2 linked regions of the Solanum lycopersicum genome follow. The protein of the gene in region 2 interacts with the protein of the main gene of each other region in a pairwise test. Links are inferred from orthologs where the notes say so. Each region holds a gene or a part of one and is shown on either strand. Other genes may lie near its edges.

What was found.
Region 1: the proteins of FACT complex subunit SSRP1 (region 2) and STOREKEEPER protein interact in binary tests that used the Arabidopsis thaliana proteins (3 or more experiments, as listed by UniProt). The link is inferred for Solanum lycopersicum from reciprocal best matches to the Arabidopsis thaliana genes HMG and AT4G00390.

Annotation. Positions count from the first base shown.
Region 1 is NC_090806.1:63,815,592-63,823,178, reverse strand, and holds STOREKEEPER protein, read right to left. Parts: upstream 3,964-7,587; 5' UTR 3,368-3,963; coding exon 2,174-3,367; 3' UTR 1,820-2,173; downstream 1-1,819. Other genes in the region: protein VASCULATURE COMPLEXITY AND CONNECTIVITY-like, read left to right, coding at 156-336; STOREKEEPER protein-like, read left to right, coding at 3,976-4,308.
Region 2 is NC_090801.1:66,346,463-66,352,780, forward strand, and holds the end of FACT complex subunit SSRP1, read right to left. Parts: intron 6,301-6,318; coding exon 6,192-6,300; intron 6,068-6,191; coding exon 5,981-6,067; intron 5,904-5,980; coding exon 5,811-5,903; intron 5,618-5,810; coding exon 5,420-5,617; intron 5,335-5,419; coding exon 5,189-5,334; intron 5,101-5,188; coding exon 4,956-5,100; intron 4,802-4,955; coding exon 4,703-4,801; intron 4,613-4,702; coding exon 4,439-4,612; intron 3,560-4,438; coding exon 3,481-3,559; intron 3,325-3,480; coding exon 3,197-3,324; 3' UTR 2,884-3,196; downstream 1-2,883. UniProt on the Arabidopsis thaliana protein: Component of the FACT complex, a general chromatin factor that acts to reorganize nucleosomes. The FACT complex is involved in multiple processes that require DNA as a template such as mRNA elongation, DNA replication and DNA repair.

The sequences.
Region 1 (7,587 bases), on a different chromosome or scaffold from region 2:
CAAAGATATAATATGTGTTTGACTCTTGTATGTTTAAAGAAATGAACCGTAACTATTTAATCAAAAAAGCTAACTCATTAAAAATCGATAAAAACAAATAAGAAGATCATATATTTTGTTGGGTTTAATTTGTGGTTATTTTTTTTTCCCTACAGGATCATAATGGCAATAGGAATGGGACTACTGGTTATAGGGACAATGGCAAACAACAAATCAAGAGCTTCTTGTGGGTTTTCACATCACCATTTTTTCTCAATTGGTGGAATTTTGTGTTTCATCCATGCCATCTTTGCTGTTGCCTATTATTCTACTGCCTCAATGCTACTTGCCCTATAATCCAAATTATTTATTTTTTGTTTATTGGGGCTGTAATGTAATGAAGATGTTTTGGTACTATGATTGTGTTGTAGACAATATTATTGATAATCGCAACTAATTACAAGATATGTATCTTAAATCTAAGATCACACTTGATTGTATCAACAGAAAATATAATCATTTGCCCTGGCAACAGATTGATCATTTGCAAAGAATCAAACAACTGCTCCAAAAGCACGATAGCATACTTGGGGTGTGGGAAGAAATGCATTTTCTAGTGTTCGGTAAATAAACAAAAAAGATGATATGAGAACGAATGAAATGACACATATGGAACTTGATTCCCTAGTTCGATTAGAAAAATCCTTTTCCTCAGCTAATTTTCCGAGTGAAAAACTGAAAAACATTTTCCGCCATACGAATCACACCCTAGACTTGTAAAGAACATACAGGATTATGCTCTGCATGTATGAAAAAAGAGCGACAACATCAACCAGCACAATTGATGTTCCGCAACTGCAAGCAAATGGGAAATATGTTTCCAGGAAACATAAATCAGAGCTAAAATTGTTACGTAACATAGAGCTATGGTGCATAACGGAGCAATTTAGATATCTATTCTGAGTCTACCTCGAAAGGTATGAGAGAGAGAGCAATATACAATTGAATTAGGAGGGCTAACAGAGTGCAGGTAGTACATATAGAAGATAAAGTTAGATGGCTTCCTCCAGTGTTAAGACCTTCAAAATGCACTGTTTTATAGGTTTGACGAAATAATAATAAAGATTTTTAAGAGGTGAAATTGAGTCGCATGGAGAAATTTTTTTTCAAGCCCTAAAGTCTATTGAAATCAATGTAGACTTGGTTAAAAACAGAACAAAATGGAACCAAAAGATCTGTATGAGTGATGACTAGTAAGAAGATACCATAAAGAGATGAGTGGGAGATTTAGAACTATCTTAATTTGTCCTTTAAGACCTAATTATTCAGTATAGGGATTGCAATGGACCTGAACAAAACAAACGGATATTGAGAATTCATATAACTGACCTCAATTGTCATAGACTCGTAGGATTGACATATAGTTGATTGAATGATGATAAATCCAAGTGTGTATACACGCACACACATATACAAGGTGTATCTGTGTGTGCATTCATGCGCTGCAGAATATCTTCACTAGGAAAGAATAGAGAATCAGCAGTTAAAGGAAACACCTAATAAGCAGCGCCAGTAAGGAATTTCTCTATCATAATTCAAGTTCTTTAAGATATATAACTAGACTAGAAACCTCAAGGATTGAACAACTGTCTAGTCAGGAAACAACATTGCGCTCTATACCAAAGGAAAAATCTAGAGGAAAACGTAACTATCCCCCACTCGAATCAATTACATGAACAACCATTGAGAACAAAGTGAATCAACATTGCAAGGAGATAACAAGTAGGCCAAGGACAACACAAGCTACAACAACTTGAGAACAAAGTGAATCAACACAAGCTGCAAAAACTGAGAAAGATCGCATTTAAATATATTTCCATCTAGAATAGGAAATGACATATTACAAAAGATGAACCAGACATTCCACTTCAGCTGTTCCTAAGCTTGCTTCCATCATACATTATATGATAGGAATGTGTAGGCATTTCATTGCAACTCCACAATAGAGCCAATCACTCCATACCACACCAACATATATAAGAAGCAACACAGCCGATATCATAAACACCAGTTCACTAGTAAAACTAAATAAGCAAGTAAATGTATGAAACAACCTGAAAAACTAATTCTACTTCACGGGCTAAACACAAGTTCATCAAATTGTAGCATTGAATAGAACAGGATCCATCAGCATCTAGTTACCTCTCATTGCATCAACCACCAATCTGTAATGCTCCGCAATGAAATCGAGGCGCTTCACCATCAAGTCAGCTTCATCATCCTCCAGAATCTTCCACTTCTCCTCCAACACTTTAGCCTTGTCGGTAGCAATCAAACTCATCTTCTCCTTCAACAAACTTGTTCCATTAGGATACATTTTAGACAAGCCAGACATAGCTTCAAGTGATGCAGCCAAACGTGGATACTTGGACTGGAAATCCAGTTGATCACCCTTAACTATATCCTCCTTAACCACCTCTTTTACGGCAATCTGTTTCTCTTCTTCCTTCTGTTTCTCATCATCCTTTGGTTTGCTAACTTTAGCACTTCTCTTAGGCTCAGAAATCTTTCTAACCTCAACACTCTTTTTAGCTTTGCCATTTGAGCTATTGTTAACATTATCCTTAACCCCTCCATTAATAGCTCCTGGAGCGCCCCAAATTCTCTTCGAGTGCTCAAAAACCAGAAAATCCTGACTCTTCGTGAAAACTGGTTCTTCACCATCTTTCACATTAGTCAAAAATTTCTTCCTTAGCCTCCTTACCTTGTCACTAATTTGACTCTTGGAAACTTCAGCCTGCAACTTTCCCCTGATGAATTCATGGAAAGCAGACATGTCGGCACTAGGTTCCATACCTTTTACCGTCTTGTATTCAAGAATCCCTTTGAGTAGAGCAAGCTGGTCATCATCGCTCCAAAGACTCCGGGGAGTAGCAGCAGACTTTTTCTCCTCTTCTTCTGCAACCTTTGGCTTCTTCCTCCCTTTCTCTTTCTGCGCCTCTTGTGGTCTCTTTGGTGTTGCTTTCGATGAGGCAGCAGCTTTAGCAGCAACATTCGGCTTAACGGTGAAAGCCGATGCAGAAGGTGAAGGCAGAGAACTACCCGATTCCGCTTCCGAATCGGATCCTGACCCATTTTCGCTTCCAGAAGAAAATTGGGGCTTCTGTGGTGTCTGAACTAGTTTTTGAGAAATGGGTCTCTTTACAACGGGATGAGATGTCTTGGGTTCTTCATCTTCTTCAGTTTCTTCCCCTGATTCTTCTTCTCCTTCTTCCTCCCTCGATTGTTGTTCTTCTTCTTCCTGGGATTCCTCCACCAATTCTTGTTCTTCAGAGGATGATGCAGAAGGAGGCTGGTCTACTAAGCGGGATTTGGTTTTGGGGGCCATTGTTTGTGAAAGCAAGAAGAGAGAGCTATTCGGCCGTCAACTGTGTGTATGGGTGAGTGTTGAAGCAGAGTCAAAAAGATGAAAGCTTTGTGTAGGGTTTTTCTCAATTTATACAAAAAGCCAATGTATTAATCGATTGCCGCGCCCTTCTACGATTGGATAATCACTTTCCCCATTTAGACGTGTATTCCAAGTGAAATTTATGAATAACACCAATACAACTACTCACATATGGAATGGGATTTGTGATGAAAGTGATAAGGAATTTGATATAAATTTCAAATTAAAAAGGGATCCATTATATAAAGATCAGTTTAAACCTTACAAAAATCTCAATCATCTTTTGAGTTCAGGAGCGAAAATGAGTTAGGATCTGAATAAGGTTATTCCCTGTCTTCCCCTTCTGCATCGGTTCAACAAAAGTTGTTGCCCCATTAAAATCAACTTAAGGCCGCAAAAGACCTAGAAAGGGAGGAAGGAAACCAAAATTAGGATAAAAAAAATCAACTCCTCCTCCTCGTAAGCCGAATGTTGCTGCTAAAGCTGCTGCCCTATCGAAATCAGCAACAGAGAGACCGCAAGAGGCACAGAAAGAGAAAGGTAGGAAAATGCCCAAAGTTGCAGAAGAAGAGGAGAAAAAGTCTGCTGCTACTTCCCGGAGTCTTTGGAGCGATGATGACCAGCTTGCTCTACTCAAAGGGATTCTTGAATACAAGACGGTAAAAGGTATGGAACCTAGTGCCGACATGTCTGCTTTCCATGAATTCATCAAGGGGAAGTTGCAGGCTGAAGTTTCCAAGAGTCAAATTAGTGACAAGGTAAGGAGGCTAAAGAAGAAAATTTTGACTAATGTGAAAGATGGTGAAGAGCCAGTTTTCACGAAGAGTCAGGATTTTCTGGTTTTGAGCACTCGAAGAGAACTGGGGCGCTCCAGGATCTAGTAATGGAGGGGTTAAGGATAATGTTAACAATAGCTCAAATGGCAAAGCTAAAAAGAGTGTTGAGGTTAGAAAGAGTTCTGAATCTAAAAAATGGTGAGGAACTCGAGACAACCCCTCAAATTGAAAAGAGACCAAATACTAAAAAAAACAGGTCAAACCCACATAAATCTCAATCTTCTTTTGATTTCAAAAGTGAAGACGAGTCAGAATTCAAATCCGAAATGAAATCAGGTCATTCCTGCCTTTCTCTTCTCCATCAGCCTTCACAATTAAGCCAGTTGTTTCTATAAAAGTTGATTTCCCATCTAAATCAGCAACAAAGAGGCCATAAAAGACCTAGAAAGAGAAAGGGAGGAGGAAGTCCAAGATTGCAGAAGAAAATGAATCAATAAATAGAAAAAATTATAAAATTACTTACCATGTTCTTAGATTACGTATATTTTGAATATTAATGTCTACTCCTTCATTTTTTTGGTCATTTATGTATCAATTGAATGAGATTTTTAATTTTTATTGTTCGAATATTGAAGTGATGATATTATCTTGTCAGGCTAAGAAAATTCGACTCACTAAATTATGGTCATACATAATTCAAGCTAACCCTAGCTAATGTTAAAGGGGGTGGGGATGGGGCCAGGGAAAGTACATCTGACTTAGCCTTTTGCCTTGATTAGTGTAGTTAACGGGCTAAATGAGCCCAAATCAAGTTAAAGGATGGATTTCATGTTCTTTAACGGGCTAAATGGGCTAGATCAAATTATAGGATGAATTTTCATGTTCTTTTAATGGAAAATTACATGGGATGACAAACATCCTTAAGTAATTAGTTAAGGGTATAATTTAATTTATTTACTCTACCTATTTGTATACGGAATAAAAATAGTCATTCAAAGATTTTCTACATAATTTTATACAAAATCAACTTTATCTCTCATATTCTCATTCCATATATTTCTCCTAAAATCACTCTTCCCTTCTAATTTGAATTTCGAATTGGGAAAATTTTGACTTTTTCCCTTGATTGTTCTTCCACTTTTCGCAGGTAATCACTAAATTCGTTGGCTTTTAATATTTTTTCTTGATGTATTATGTTTGTTAGTTCTTTCATATATATTTGTTTTAAATATTTTTTACTAATCAGATTACAAGTCTGTCAAAAAAATCGGAATGAATGGTTCCTCTCCATCTATGAGGACTACGAGAGGTATGTCATTGCATGTCAATGTTGTTGATAACCCACCTTCATTTCGATTGGGTTAACTCGTGATTTTGGGGCCAATGTAGGGTCTATGACAAAACATAAACAAGTTCAAGTTGAACAATCTATTGAAGAATGAGATCCAAGAAAGAAAATGACCAAATGACAATTCATAAAGTCATCAACAACGCGAAATTTAGCGGCATTAAGATTGTTGAAGGTGGAAGTAAGAGAAAAGCCATAAACATTGATTCAGAAGAGATTGAATCTGCCTCATCAGAACTAGACAAATCTGAAGAATATCGATAACATTAGGTTGTATAATTTATACACAAATTACATAACTAGTGGATTGTATATTAAGTGTATATATACAAAGTATTATGAGATAGTCCTTATTTGTATATTCTATTAGTTGTATATCAATTACCAAAGTTATGTATATAGTGAGTCATATATTAAGGTAACATATACAAAGTCTTATGAGGGGCATTAGATATTTGTATACAAATAATGTTTAGTTTTGTATAAAAGAAATTTTGTTAAAATCACTCTATAATACATATACAAAATTATAGTACATTATACAAATTTCTCAATAAATACAAATAATTATGAACATAATAAAATACAATCAGTTTAATCATTAATTTTTTTGGCAAAATTATTCATTACCCCCTGAACTTGAAACTTTTTATTCAGTGTACACCTAAACTTTATTTTGTTTTAATTACCCCCTGAACTTGCTTTTTCATCCAACACGTACACCTTTTCTGACTGATCACTACGATCGTGTCTACACGCGCACGACACCTAGATAAATACTTTGCCACCTAGATAAATATTTTATCACCTAGATAATTAAAACTTCGGGACCAACCTTCACAATTCACATCGATTAAAACTTCTCAAAGAAGCTTCTTCGTTTTGCTCTAAACCTCTTTGCTTTTCTCTAAACCTCCCACGAGTAGATTTGACAAGTGTAATCGACAAAGTAACGAGTAGATTTTTGCCAGTTGCAGTTCTGGAGTAAAGACTTGCTAGATTTCGTGAAGTGTTTGGTCGATTGGTGTCGATTGGTTCTTTGGATCTTGTCTGAAATTGTTAACAAGTAAGTGATTATCCACTCGATTTCGTGAAGGCTTGATGTATTGTTGTATGTTTAATTTACTTTTCATTCATATTTTGCCCTATTTTTTGTTTGAGATTTCGCCATAGTTTCCGATTGAGTTTCCGATTAGGGGTCTAATAGTTTTCAACTAGAATTTTCACTTAATGAATGTATTATTATGAAGTTTTTTTTACCTTATTCATGCATAAGCATTAAGGTTTCTGATAATCAGTTTAAAATTAAGGCTTTTTGGTAAAATTAAGGTTTTAAGTGCTAGGGTTTCTGGTATTGTTAAATGGTAAGGTATTTTGTAATTTGTTTAAGTATATTGTGTGGGATGCCTATTGTATGTTGATGAGTAATATGTCTACTATACTAAGTACCAATTGTTGCTTCTGTTTTGATGTTATTGTATATGCTTCGATTTTGTTGCTTGCATTATACAATATACTGATTGTTATTGTGGTTATAGGTTGACTTATGGCTAATAGGTACCTCAATTTAAGGTTCAAATTTGGGGGTATCTTGGTGAGTGAGGTAGATCCAATATATGTTGGGGGTAGGACTGAATATGTAGAAAATATGGAAGAAGATCATTTATCAATTCCTGAACTTACAGATTATGCTAAGTCTTTTGAGATTAGTAAGTTAGGAAAAACATATGCAGCTCCATCTCTAGGGGTGATTTGGTGGAATTGAAAAATGACATGGACATTTGTAGCATGACATTATTTATGCGTGATGGGGACACAACAGATATTTATGTGTGTAATGACACTATTTTGGATGATGTGGGTCCCAGTGAAGGTCAAATTAGTCAATCTTTAAGTCAAGTGGTTGAGTCTTTTAATGCACACGGAGAATCTTTAACTGCACAACCAAAAAAATCAGATCCAGGGTTAGGTTCCTCTTCTTCCTTTCCAGCTACTGAAAGACTTGAAAATGATGGGGTTGCAAGGGTCGAACAAAA
Region 2 (6,318 bases):
ATTCCATCTCTCCAGGAATCCTCCCAACTTCATAAAAAATGATTTCAGGATTATTTTGCTTCATAGAAAATGATTTCAGGATTGTTAATAACATGATGATGCATGGATTAGTGGTTTTGGTAGCCCGGCCTCCAAATATATTCATATGAGGAAAGCTACTGATACGGAAAGAAGACTTTGTTTCCTTCAAAATGAACATTATATTCTGACCACAGAACGCAGCAGAAGTCATTGGTTTACTAGGAAGGGAATCATGTAGCAAAATACCTACCTCCCTTTCGCTCTGCAAGAAGTACATGAAAGCACTAATTGCCTTCTTCGGAGGATTTGGATCCCTCTTCTTTTTCTGTTTTTTTCTACTTCAATGCATCATTGTCGGCCTTTTTCCTGCTTGTGATGGCTTTGACACAGTAACCTCCTTTTTTGGTTTCTTCTTTGCAGGTTTCTGAATCCAGCATACATGACTGTCAGCTCATATTTTTTCAATTTGTAAACTAGAACTTGAAAATATATAAACATGAAGGGCAGTTATACGTCCACCACCGCTACCACTGGCATCAGATTCATCCTAACTTAGAGAAAGACGACCATGGAGTTGAATACGATGAAATTACAAATAGGCATTTTACCTCTTCACCACTGCCATCCCCACGTGCTTCATTCTTAATACGCTCAAGATGTGCATCAACAGCATCATCTCGTCATTGGGCAAAACAAGAACACCTTCTGTAGCCCGAGCTTCAATAAGGTTCATAGTTTCAGATCCTTTCCACTGCATTACTCAATGATTGTGTCAGAAAGGCTAAGCAGACTTGTTAAACCCAAATTGAGAGAGAAGAAGACTTGAAAGTAAAGCTAACCGGATGAAATAAAAAAGATTGTAGTACTCATTTCTCTGGATGTTCCGGAAAAAATAATCTTGTTCAGTTTTCAGTCTGGCAAGAAGATCAAAGTAATGCATGTTGCCCGTGCCTACAGCATGCCTCTCAAACTCCACATAATCAATCTGATTGCATAATGAATAAGGTCAGTCTTTTCAAGAATGAAGATGATACTCACAAGATTTTGAGCTTTACAGCAACGTGAATATACCCCCTTATGCAGTATAAATAAGAAGGATAGAGGAGTCCATCTTCAGCCTGCAGTGAGGTCTCCACCACATATTGACTGCTACGGAACTTCCCTGGTCTAGTGACTTTGGAACCAGACAAGCCGCTTAAAATTTGAGTAAATATGTCATGGATAAGAACCTGGTTCATAATTTAAATTAGAGAAGTAAACAACACCAAACACGTCAACACAATGAGCTTGCACTGCTTTTTTCACAGTTGATGCAAATCCGAATGACTATAAACACAAGAAAAAATTAAAAAATCTAATTACCTAGTAACTCGTTAGCCCCCACTCCTTGTATTTCGTATTTAAAAGATCTTGGCTTAAAGCCAGCGAAAGGTCTACCACACTGTAAGTCTCAAACTGGTAATATAAAAGAGCAGGTGATACCAAAAATAGAATGTACGTCATTATACCATATGCATCAATCAATACCTGCAAATACAATGTACGCATATACAAAGTTTGGCGCTTCATGATCGGAGGATCAAGAGGGACAGACAACTACTGAAGTGTGTGGTTGATTAGTCTGCAAAAGCAGAGAAGTCGGTTTGAATTATACAATTGCTTAAAAGTTCAATGAAGACGATTGTAGGCATGACTAAAACATTGATAAAGATGCTAAACGGGGAACAGCCTTGGGCAACAAAAAACACGGACTAGGCTGTTGTACTGAATTTTAAAGTCATTGGCTTGCCCATGCAAGTGCAAGAATGAGAGATGAAGCTCAACATTGTAATATCCTACAGCATATGGGCGGGCACATTGCCAGTCACTCTGAAGCAAAAAAATAGATAACAACATGGAAAGCGCTTAGCCAGCCTTGGAGTAAGTATTGCAATTCCGTCAAACCAACAGCTTCCTGACCAGTCAATTGGCATGATTTTTTCACGAAGAAACTAGAAGTTACAATCACATTACTCAATTTTCACAAAGACAAGTTATCGGAGAGTCCAGAAGCAGATGAATAAGCCCGACCCTATCAATGTTACCCTTGCATTCGCTAAGCAAACTGGACAGTACGTTAACTAATTTTATCCCCAGGTCCCTCTCCATCTCTTTTTTTGTCATTTATTTTTTTCCATGCAAAGATATTTTTACAATTTATATACTCCCTCTAAATAAACCGTTTTAGGGAAATTTTTGTCATTTTAATCGAGAAGGGTCCAATTATCAATTAACTTAATACCAATTTCAACTATTTATTTAATTTTTTTTTAGAAAAAGAGCCTTCTTAACGAGCTAGTACCAAGCACAATCGTAAACTGTTTATATTTCGACAGGTAATTTCTTACGTGAAGAACGTGATCACCCAAAGACACTGCATTCACAACATTGTTTGTAATGATCAGAGACGTGGTAGACCACGTTGAACAACGGCAATGAAAACAGAATTTCTACATTTGGTTGATAGAATTTTCGGGCAGATCATGTGCCAATGTGGAGTTGTTATGACGGGCTTGATGATGCTGTAGAGGGATCCGCTGTTGTTACCGTATCGCATAGCTATTCCACTGACCATAACCAAGTGGTGCATTTTGGTGCAAGTTAAATTGCTTACATTGATTAAAAAAAAGGCAAATTACAATCGCTTCTAATCATTTTGGGAAGAGATTGACGTCTAAGTCCGACATTTTTCACATTCAGCTACCAGGTGTTGCAACAAATTATTGGATGTGGTAATCACAGATCTGCAATTTCATTGGCTATTTTATCAATTGAAAAAAACTGAAACAGGAACATATAAACCTCAAATTCTAGAGACATCTCTAATAAAAAGCTCAGCAAATTATAAAATTACCTTTTCATATCCGGGAAACCAAGTTAAAGGAGAATTTACGTAGCTCCTAGATTATGCTAACACATCATAGAGGAATGTCTAGAGTACTCCAGAATATCACGAACAATTATATTTCATTAAGATGTTGATTAGAAGTGCCTCACGAAACCTATATTCTCAACTTCCCCCAAAACTTGAGCTTCACATAAAACATTAGCAGCAAGACCTCCAACTATGAACCACAATTGCTGATTAGGCACGTCAACCTTCTAAGTTCCCACACTCGATTAAACGATTTTGCACTTAATTACTCCCAGATTCATTCCCTGAATCCACGACAGTTGGCTGAGGGTTCTTGTAATCACTGATCTGTTCACTGTACCGTTTCTTATCTGCCTTGGCCATGGCCTCAAAGGGTTCTTTCTCCTCAGCTGAGAAACCATTAACACAGCAAGTGAGCCAATTATATAATTGAAGAAAATGAAAACACAAAACAGACAGCAGCAAACATGAGCATCAAATCAACCGCCCTTGATAATAAAATAATGAAGCAAATAAGATACCAGAATGCCACAAAAATAACCAACCTGACAGCTTATTCCATCTCTCTCCAAGAACCCTCCCTACTTCAGTGAAAGCAATTCCAGGATTACTTTTCTTCACATTCTACAGTAAACGGAAGGGAAGTGAATGGAATGTTACAACCATGATGAGTCTTGAAATGTACCTCAAAGCAAGAAAACACACCAACTCACAAAAGAAGCAGGCTAATACGGTAACAGCAGGTGGGTGTAATTTCCAACAAACCAGAAAAATTATAATAAACTTTTGTTAAACATATACGTCTTGGGCCTAACTGACACCATCATAAGAGCCTCCCATCTCATTAATCACCAATTTAGTCCCTATTTTTTCTTCCACCTCCGAGCACTCTACTCTGTAAGGCCACTAAGTCTCTCAGGCAACCCTGCACTAGGAATAAGCCCTTTACACTAGTAGAACAGAAGGCTGTCTAGACATGTCATTGTCCTCGAGGAAATGAATCTACCACCCAGAATGCCTCTAATTGGATGAAATGCCCATGAAAGGTACCAGTTCAAGGAACTCAATTATTTCAGGATTTATATCATAAATAAAGGGATTCTAATATGGGATTATGGACTCCTTCATTAAAGGAAATGGGATTATGGGCCTCTCCTCCATTAAAAAAAATGGGATTATGGACCCTGGCACTTTTAAGTCTGCTACGGATTTATCAACTTGATGATGGACTAAATTTTGTAGTAGTTAATACGATCATGCATGGATCAGTTGTTTTGAGTAGCCCAGGCTCTAAATACATTCGTGTAAGAAAAGCTAAGACTTAGATACACTGCATTGGGTGCCTATTTTTATTCATCTTATGGGGAATGAAGACTTGTTTCCTTCAAAATGAACATTATATGTTTCAATAATTCTCAGAACAAAAAACCTGGCATACAGACCACAGAACGCGGGAGAAGTCATTGGTTTTCTAAGAAAGAAATCATGTAACAGAGCACCTACCTCCCTTTCACTCTGCGAGAAGTACATGAAAGCACTAATTGCCCTCTTCGGAGCATTTGGATCCTTCTTCTTTTTCTGTTTTTTCTTCTTCGATCCATCATCATCTGCCTTTTTCCTGCTTGTAGATGGCTTTGACACAGTACCCTCCTTTTTAGGCTTCTTCTTTGCAGGTTTCTGAATCCAGCATACATGAATGTCAGCTCATATTTTTCCAATTTGTAAATAAGAACTTGAAAATATATAAACGTGAAAGGGCAATTATACCTCCTCCTCACCACCACTACCACTGGCATCAGACTCATCCCCTCCAGAATCATCAGTAGGAGACCCTCCATCATCCTTATCGATGACAAAATCTTCGTCCTGGAAAGGTTATGAATGTCAGACAGCATTTCAAGAATTTCCAACAACACAAAGGGCAAGTAAAGATGCTAGAATCCAACAAGATACTCTGACAATGACTTAGAGAGACATCCATGGAGTTGAAGATGATGAAATGACAAATAGGCATGTTTACCTCTTCATCACTGTCATCCCCGCCCGCTTCATTCTTAATACGCTCAAGATGTGGATCAACAGCATCATCGTCATCATCGGGCAAAACAGGAACACCTTCTGTAGCCCGAGCTTCATTAAGGTTCATTATTTTCAAACCCTTTCCACTGCATTACTCAATGATTGTGTCAGGAAGACTAAGCAGACTTGTTAAACCGAAATTGAGCGAGAAGAAGACTTGAAAGTAAAGCTAACCTGATGAAATCAAAAAGATTGTGGTACTCATTTCTCTGGATATTCCGGAAAAGATGTTCTTGTTCAGTTTTCAGTCTGATGAGAAGATCAAAGTAATGCATGTTGGCCGTGCCCGCAGCGTGCCTCTCAAATTCCACATAATCAATCTAATTGCATCATACAATAGGTCAGTTTTTCAAGAATGAAGATGTATCTCACAAGATTTTGAGCTTTACAAAAACTTGAATTTACCTCTTCATGCAGTATAAGTGTTGGAGGTTTAGGTAAAAAGAAGAAGCTTTTCTCAAGAGGATAGAGGAGTCCATCTTCAGCCTTCAATGAGGACTTCACCGCATACCCATCTTGACTACTACGGAACTTCCCTGGTTTAGTAACTTTGGAACCAGACAAGCCGCGTAAAATTTGAGTAAAGATATCATGAATAAGACCCTGGTTCACAAGTAAAATTATTATTAAATGCTAATAAGTAAAATTATTATTAAATGCTAAAAATTAACAGCACCAAACACGTGAATACAATGAACTTGCATTTCTTTTCTTTTTTTGACAAACAATGAACTTGCATTTCTATTTTCACAGTTGATGCAAATCCAAATGACTATAAACACAAAAAAAATATTACTTTGTAACCCATTAGCAGCCTCTCCTTGTATTTTGTATTTAGAAGGTCTTCGCTTAAAGCCAGCGAAAGGTCTACCACATTGTCCGTCTCAAACTGGTAAGACAAAGAAGCAGCAGGTTAATACCAGAACAGAATGTACGTCATTATTTAATATGTGCATCAATCAATACCTGCAATACAATGTGCGGATACAAAGTTTGGCCCTTCCTAATTGGAGGATCAAGAGTGATAACTACCAAAGTGTGTGGTTGGTTATGCTGCAAAGCAGAGAAGTCATTTCAATTATACAATGCTTAAAAGTTCAATGAAGACAATTTCAGAAAGCTCCATGAAGGAATTAAAAGGGGTAGGCATAACTAAAACATTGAACATAGAAATAACCTTCGGCAACAAAAAAATACGGACTACGCTGCTGTACTGAATTTTAAAGTCATTGGCTTGCCCTTGCAAGCGCAAGAATGAGAGATGAAGCTCCACATTATAACGACCCCTGCAGCATATGGACACA